Linked DNA regions of Oryzias latipes. The protein of the gene in region 1 binds, or shares a complex with, the protein of each later gene. Links are inferred from orthologs where the notes say so. Each region holds a gene or a part of one and is shown on either strand. Other genes may lie near its edges.

Evidence for each region. The genes of interacting proteins can lie anywhere in the genome.
Region 2: the proteins of cdk2 (region 1) and cdkn3 are in contact, whole or in part, in a crystal structure (PDB 1FQ1), measured with the Homo sapiens proteins. The link is inferred for Oryzias latipes from reciprocal best matches to the Homo sapiens genes CDK2 and CDKN3. Residues at the interface, in NP_001789.2 of Homo sapiens: Tyr15, Glu42, Thr158, Tyr159, Thr160, His161, Val163, Val164, Leu166, Leu174, Gly176, Asp206, Ser207, Glu208, Ile209, Leu212, Asp235, Lys237, Phe240; in NP_005183.2 of Homo sapiens: Phe53, Lys54, Asp55, Arg57, Tyr87, Asp110, Gly111, Tyr141, Gly142, Gly143, Leu144, Gly145, Arg146, Ser147, Arg172, Ser177, Gly178, Ile180, Gln181, Thr182, Ile183, Lys184, Tyr186, Asn187, Glu191.

The regions. Positions count from the first base shown.
Region 1 is NC_019863.2:27,093,792-27,097,891, reverse strand, and holds the start of cdk2 (cyclin-dependent kinase 2), read left to right. Parts: upstream 1-1,300; 5' UTR 1,301-1,619; coding exon 1,620-1,735; intron 1,736-2,319; coding exon 2,320-2,397; intron 2,398-2,494; coding exon 2,495-2,615; intron 2,616-2,692; coding exon 2,693-2,863; intron 2,864-3,123; coding exon 3,124-3,225; intron 3,226-3,305; coding exon 3,306-3,509; intron 3,510-4,100. UniProt on the Homo sapiens protein: Serine/threonine-protein kinase involved in the control of the cell cycle; essential for meiosis, but dispensable for mitosis. Phosphorylates CABLES1, CTNNB1, CDK2AP2, ERCC6, NBN, USP37, p53/TP53, NPM1, CDK7, RB1, BRCA2, MYC, NPAT, EZH2.
Region 2 is NC_019880.2:1,400,493-1,403,701, reverse strand, and holds the end of cdkn3 (cyclin-dependent kinase inhibitor 3), read right to left. Parts: intron 3,143-3,209; coding exon 2,920-3,142; intron 2,525-2,919; coding exon 2,493-2,524; intron 2,419-2,492; coding exon 2,315-2,418; intron 1,146-2,314; coding exon 1,056-1,145; 3' UTR 501-1,055; downstream 1-500. UniProt on the Homo sapiens protein: May play a role in cell cycle regulation. Dual specificity CC phosphatase active toward substrates containing either phosphotyrosine or phosphoserine residues. Dephosphorylates CDK2 at 'Thr-160' in a cyclin-dependent manner.

The DNA of each region.
Region 1 (4,100 bases):
GCAGAGGGCTACTTATGTAATTCAATAATTTATACCAACATAAAAGTGATTACTTGACAATGATATTTCAATTTCGATCTCTTCAAATACATATATATATATATATATTTATATATATATATATTACAATGAATACAAATAGAAAAGTTGAACAAAGGAAAAACTTTTTTTTCTTTTTGTTAGTGTAAAATTTGGTTTACAAAAGTAGAAAATTAATAATATTTTCTAACATACTTTTCTTATCCTGTGGCAAAGATAGTCCATTGGAGTCTATACTTTAAGTTTACTTTTTATACACTATATATTGAAGACATAAAATGTAATAATTTATTCTGAGAAGTATTCTGTTAGTATACTTCCTGTACTGCATGTACATGGAGTATAGTAGGCGTACATTTGCTGTAATTATACTTAGGTATACTTAAGAAGTAAACTTTAGGTGTACAAGTGTACTACTTTTTTGCCAAAAAGTTGTCAGGAGTGGTTATAATCTTTTGGGATTTCAGTTTTATCTCACTAACAAAAAACAGTGTGAATGTGTTTGACAAGGAAATGCTGCACTAACAAAGAAACTAATAAAACACTTAAAAAGGTTTTGTCTCAATTGAAACTTTGAAGTCTTTTTATTTTTATTTTGACTGTTTATGCTTTTTTTAAAAAACTTTTATGTATTATTACTTTTGTTGATTCATTTATTGAATTATGTGTTTATTTTTTTTATTTTGTTTATTTTATTATTATTTATTTCATTTTATTATTATTATTATTATTATTTTTTTGTTATTCAACCTCATGGCAACTTCAATAATTTGCACTTGGTGTGAAATTCTGTATGTGCAATGTTTGTCAATAAAGTTATTAAAATTAAAAAAAAATAATCTCCGTCTTTGATTTTTGTTTTTTAACTGATGGTTAAATTGGAATATAAATGCATTTATGAAAATGTATACATTGATAAAAAAAAATGTTCCAAAAATACACATTATTTGTGGGCGTTAAACTTTTTTCCCTTCATATTTAACCGCTTTTACGTAGCTTTCTGGTTCCTTTACGCCGTAGACCATGTGACCAAAGAGTGCGGCTTGTTTATTATTCCGTTATACGCCGGAAGACGAGGAACTCATTTCTCCAATTACACCAGTTCGCAATAAAATCATTGGATTAAATACAATAAACATAGCGGTCTACCTTCACCAGTGCCATATATCAGGACTGACTTTAATTACTGCTAAATTCAAGAAAAGGGAAAATAATAAATTGCTTCTGCTCTGAACGGTACGGTGTGTCTCGAGCACAAAAACGAACGCCCGCAACACAACGCGGGAAACGCCGTTGTGTTGTTTTCCACCGCGGAGCAACCACCGGGCTAATCCTCAATTTAGGGGTTAGTGTTACTACCTGACAGATGTTCACCTGTCCGTTTTTGTGTGCCGCTCTCTGACCGGAGAGAGTTTGTCCTCGAACGGGACCCCTTGGTTTGGTTGTAGCCTGGACCGCATGACGAAACCCGGAGAAGCGGGTAATTGTAGGTCGGTCCCCGCGCTGCTTAATGCTTGTAGCCTCCGAGAAGACGTTAGCTCCGAAACAAAGAAAGAGGTCCGGTCCGATTCTGGTGGGAAATGGATACGTTTCAGAAAGTGGAAAAGATCGGAGAAGGGACGTATGGAGTGGTTTACAAAGCTAAAAACAAACTGACCGGAGAAACGGTTGCGCTGAAGAAAATCCGACTGGATACGTAAGTGAAAAGTTCTTCTTCCTGCTGGTTGAAACCTCTGAGAAGCGTTTGTTGTGATTCAGATTATCTCAAATGCTTAATTCCAGTCCCCTCATGAAACAGTTTCATTAATTACAGAAAAGACAAAACATTTTAAATTCACTCTATGTACAAAGACCTAAAAAATAAAAGTAAATAATAATACAAAGTTGAAACAAAACTGACATGTTACAAAATAAAAGCATTCAGCTCTTGTTTGGTTGGTTTCACTGTCAAATTAAACCTACTCAGTTACATTTAAAATCTATTCACCATCTGTTTTATTCATCTCTATTTGCCTTTGGGGGTAATGGAACACTAAACACAATTAGTCAATAAATTGATCAAAAGTGATGATTACAAATTCATGTGCATTTGTCCATAAAGTTTTGGAAAAGCATCATAAACACAACAAATTGCTTTAATTTAAAATGATTCTTAATCAAAATGAATTATTGTGCAATAACTAGGAAAATTGTATTCAATTTATCAATGGGACAAAGGAAGCATTTAACTTCATAAAACAATCTCCGCTGATCCTTAAATTTGTGATTTCTTTAATCCAGAGAAACAGAGGGCGTACCAAGCACAGCGATTCGAGAAATTTCACTTCTTAAAGAACTCAGTCATCCAAATATTGTCAAGTAAGTGTTTAACCATGCAGAAATATGTTTATTTTGTTCAAAAGAATCCCATTTTGTGTGATTTTATGTTTTAAACCAACTTTTTTTTTTTGTCCAGGTTGCAGGATGTGATTCACACAGAAAACAAACTCTATCTGGTTTTTGAGTTCCTCCATCAGGACCTCAAAAAATTCATGGACTCTTCCTCTGTGACTGGCATCCCGCTGGCTTTGGTGAAGGTGAGCGTCCTCTTTAAAGAGAAGATCCTGAAACTGTCCAGACCTGATTCCTTGTTCTTACTGTCTTGTGTTTCTAGAGTTATCTCTTCCAGTTGCTGCAAGGCCTGGCTTTCTGCCACTCTCACAGAGTTCTTCATCGGGACCTGAAGCCCCAAAACCTCCTCATCAACGCCCAGGGTGAGATCAAACTGGCAGACTTCGGTCTGGCGAGAGCTTTTGGAGTGCCGGTCCGCACCTACACTCATGAGGTACAGTGTGCTCCTCCCTTTCTTCATCTGTAACAAGGTACGAATCGATCTGATAACAGCTGATTTTGTTTTTCTAATGTGGTTCAGGGATTTTTAGTGCTGGATAGTGAGAAAATGTTTATTTTAAAGGATAAAATCCCAAAATATGTATTTTCTTAGCTTTGCTCTTTCAAAATCTGATTCAGACCTTTTCTTGTCTTGTATCAGGTTCACATAATAAAACATTAGAGTCGTTCTTGATTCTTTGTGGTATCTTTCAGGTGGTAACACTTTGGTACAGAGCCCCAGAAATCCTCCTCGGCTGCAAATACTACTCCACAGCTGTCGATGTCTGGAGTTTGGGGTGCATCTTCGCTGAAATGGTAACGCGCTCGACCCCAAGACCAACTTCAATAAAGAATTAGGAGCACGCTGATAATAAACTGATGGTCTGTGTTCACAGATCACCAGGAGGGCTTTGTTTCCCGGAGACTCTGAGATCGATCAGTTATTCAGGATCTTTCGCACGCTGGGCACACCTGACGAAACGGCGTGGCCCGGAGTCACATCCATGCCCGACTACAAGCCCTCCTTCCCCAAATGGGCTCGTCAGGATTTATCCAAAGTGGTTCCGCTTCTAGACGAAGATGGAAGAGAGTTGCTCGGAGTGAGATTTTCTTCTGATTGCTACATGTTTTACTCTTTTCCTGTTAAATATCTGCAAACGCGTTAATTAAGAGTAATTGTTTTTATGTGTAGAGTTTAGAAAGGATGACAAATTCTCTTATGCAAATTATAACTTTTTCTGTCTACTGAAAAAAAAAAAACAATATTTTAAACGCAGCTCAGAAATATTGACTTGAAAAAACCTTTTCAAATTTTTTGTTTGCCTTTCTAGGATGGTGCCCTTTCAGCTTTTTTTCCTACTTTCCATTTTTCTCTAATAATTTATCTTTAAAATAGTTTTTGTGGTAATGCTTGACATTTGTTTTTTAGTACAACCGCGGCTTCTCTCTGTCTCTCTTTTTTTTTAGCAGAATATTTTTAATTATATCCCAATAATTTCACAATGAAACTTTACAAAAACTCAATTTCAGGTTTTAAATTTACTAATTTGTATTACCGGTAACTAAAAAAATTTGAGAACAAACAGTTTTTATGTTTTATTACAACGATCCAAAGGCGTACAAAATAAATGAAAAAATAAATACAAAAGTAAGGTAAAGATGATATTAAAACAGTGCAAAAAACGTGTGAA
Region 2 (3,209 bases), on another chromosome or scaffold:
TCGGCGATGACCTGGACTCGGCGCAGGCCGTCACCCCCTGAAACATTCTGGCTCTTCACCGACACGTCTGCTCCTCACGGTTCTGCAGAACCGCTCATGGAAGACATCTGAATGGACCCCCCCACACACACACACTTTTTTATTGGTTGTTTTTGATCCGCTTGAGATTTAAATAAAGTTTTTCATCCGTCATCAGGACGGCGAGCTGATTCGTTGCCGCCGAAGACTCAGCTGGTATTTCTGACGGGGGGGGGGGCACGTGGACAGAGACGTTTGTTTACTCATCATGTAATCTGTGACTCCAGATTATTGGATTACGTCTGCAGACAAAGGTCGAGTTTAACTTTGACCTTTGGATTTCAAACATTTCCTCCTATTTATTCCTAGTTTTTAATTTAGAGGATTGTGTTTCTGCCCCGAACACTCCAATGATGTCATTTGTGGGTGTGGCCAGACTTTCACTGTTTGTCATTTCTGTCATGTAGATTCATTTCCCCGTGTCGCATTAAAACATTTATTTCAATCTAATCATGTTTTCACTCTGAGGTCTGGGTTTCACACATGAACACACGACGTCTGAGAGAAAAAGTTCACATTTTCAGTCGAAATGAAGACAGAAAACCGGCGTAACCCTTGTGCTATCCTAGGCACTTTAACATTGGGTCATCTAGACCCACTAGACAGTGCTCTGAACCTTTTTTCTTCAATGATTTGTGATCTTCACTGGTGTCCATGGATTACATGAAATCTTTCCACCTTTATCCACCTTTGTCATGGTAGGGAGAACACGTCAATGGAAGGGGGGGTCATAGTATAGGACAAGGGTTAAATGACACAAATGTAAAAAAAGAGTTTTGTGTTTGACCTGCAGAAGAAAGAAAAGACGAAAGCAGACGGTTAAGCTGAAAGCTGCAGAAGAAGAAAACGAGAAAAATGAAACCGGAAAAAAACTTTTTTCCATCATTGATTTTAAGAGAAAATATATTAAAGGATTTGATTTAAAGTGCAACTCAGAGAGGAAAGGACTTGTGAGGAATGGCAGGAGACGTCCTGGATCAGCGGGACACCGGGCGCTCCGTGGAAGCGTCTCCGCTCTCCCCGCGCGCCGCCAACTTCTCTCGAAACTCGTGGAGAAAGTTGTACTGCTGCAGAAGAAAAAAAGGAATAAAAATCAGGATTCTATTCCTTCATTCCCAGAATCAAAGACTGAAAACCATTTGGAAAAGTCCTGAAGTTCTATCAGACGCATCAAGGGGGCGCTGTTGTCTGAAGGAACAGGACAGGAAAGGTTTTTCTAATCTTTGTTTTTGGAGCTTTAACCATTGTACTATCCTATGGGGTCAAGATGACCATTAGCACTTTAACATTGGGAGTTGGGTCATCTAGACCCACTAGACAGTGCTCTGAACCTTTTTTCTTCAATGATTTGTGATCTTCACTGGTGTCCATGGATTACATGAAATCTTTCCACCTTTATCCACCTTTGTCATGGTAGGGGGAACATGTCAATGTAAGGATCGGGTCATCTGGACCCCATAGGATAGCACAAGGGCTAGTGAGCATCAGTGCTCACTGGTTTTTCGCAGAGACTTCTGGGAAACTTCTAGGGCTCTGCATTTTGGAATTGTAGATTCAGACATCCCTATAAAGTGGCGAAGGCGCTACATGGTAAAGGAATTGGGACACAACCTTCGACTTTTCCAACAGTTTGATTCTCTTCTATGCTGATGATATCCGACTCTACATTTCACGTTTACTTAGTGTCCACTAAACGGGAGGCAGTGTACTTGAATAATAATAATCGGCTGCAGCTCACCGCTCCCCCAGTGGAGGGATGGGTCAAATGCGGAAACGAATTTCCCATTGTGGGATAAATAAAATAAAATAAAATCCTCCTTTTTTATCATTATATTGTAAAATGTCCTCATTTAGTCTAAAAAGAGTATTCACTTTGTCTACTTCCTACAATTAGATGGACTGCAGTAGTATGTTTAATAAAATAAAGTGTAGTACTTTTTAAACTAAGAAGCAGCTTTTAGTTCCTGCCGTTGATGCTTTGAAGCCTCATCTTTAGCTAAAATAGTCAGATTTGACGCATTTCTAAATCCTTTAGATGTTCATATTCTTTATGTTTCTAAACTTTAAACTACAAAAAAGTGTTGACATTTTTTTTGGTTAAACTAATTAATCTTTTGCTTCACTTTAGGTAAAAAGCTGGACACAAACGATTTATTGTTTTATTTATTTCTGCATGAATAAATGTATTTAAGGTCATTTTCTTAGTTTCCTGCAGACAGAAGAGGAGCGTCCTCACCTTCACGGTCTGGATGGCTCCTCTTCCTCGCAGCTCCCTGAGGAGCTTGATGGCGTCGCTCGCCGTCATGGTAACGGAGAGCTGAAGCAGCAAACAAGCTGCGACTGAGGAGGAGAGGACAGCGTGAAGGAGGAGGAGGAGGCGTCCGGACTTCAAAACACAAAGTTTGGCTTCTCACTCAGAGCGGATCGTCCCAGACCTCCAAAGCAGCTGGAACAGAAGAACGGCTGAGGTCATCCGAGGTTCAAACCAGTTTCTGATCTGGAGCCAAAACTGGATTTAAACGGCAGAATTCATGAAGAAAACTGGAAAACTGTGGAAAAGTCTGAATTTGCGCCTCATTTCTGTACATTGTTCAATTCTACTTTAGCTACAAATAAAAAATACTTTTTAAAAACACTAAACATTGGAGAAAGAAGGAATTAGTCTGAGAGAATAAGTCTGGACTGAAGACGAGCAAAAGCAGCTGAGGGTCAAAAATCCTAAAAGATTTGGAAAATTGAATTTCTAAAGAAAACGTTCAGGAAACAGATCTGAGTGGAGCTTTGCTGAGCTACACACTCAGACGTCGCAGCGTTTTCATCGATTGTAGCACGAAGACTCACTGGATCAGCGTCTTCCTGCCGCCCTCCAGGTGGCGCTGCAGCTCGTCCAGGATCCGGCAGCACTGCTCCAGCTCCGGCGCCTCTCCGTCGGGGATGGGCCAGTGCTGCACCGTGAGGCCTCGCCGCTCGTACGCCTCCAGCAGGGTGGGGACTCGGTACCTGCTGAGCTCCCCTCTGGTGCAGAAAACAAGCACATCCTGCACCCCCTGGTTGTGAAGCTCCTCTGAGGAGGAGGAGGAGGTGGAGGAGGGTCAGAGCACAGAGAAGATCAACCGAAGGTCTTTTAGGAA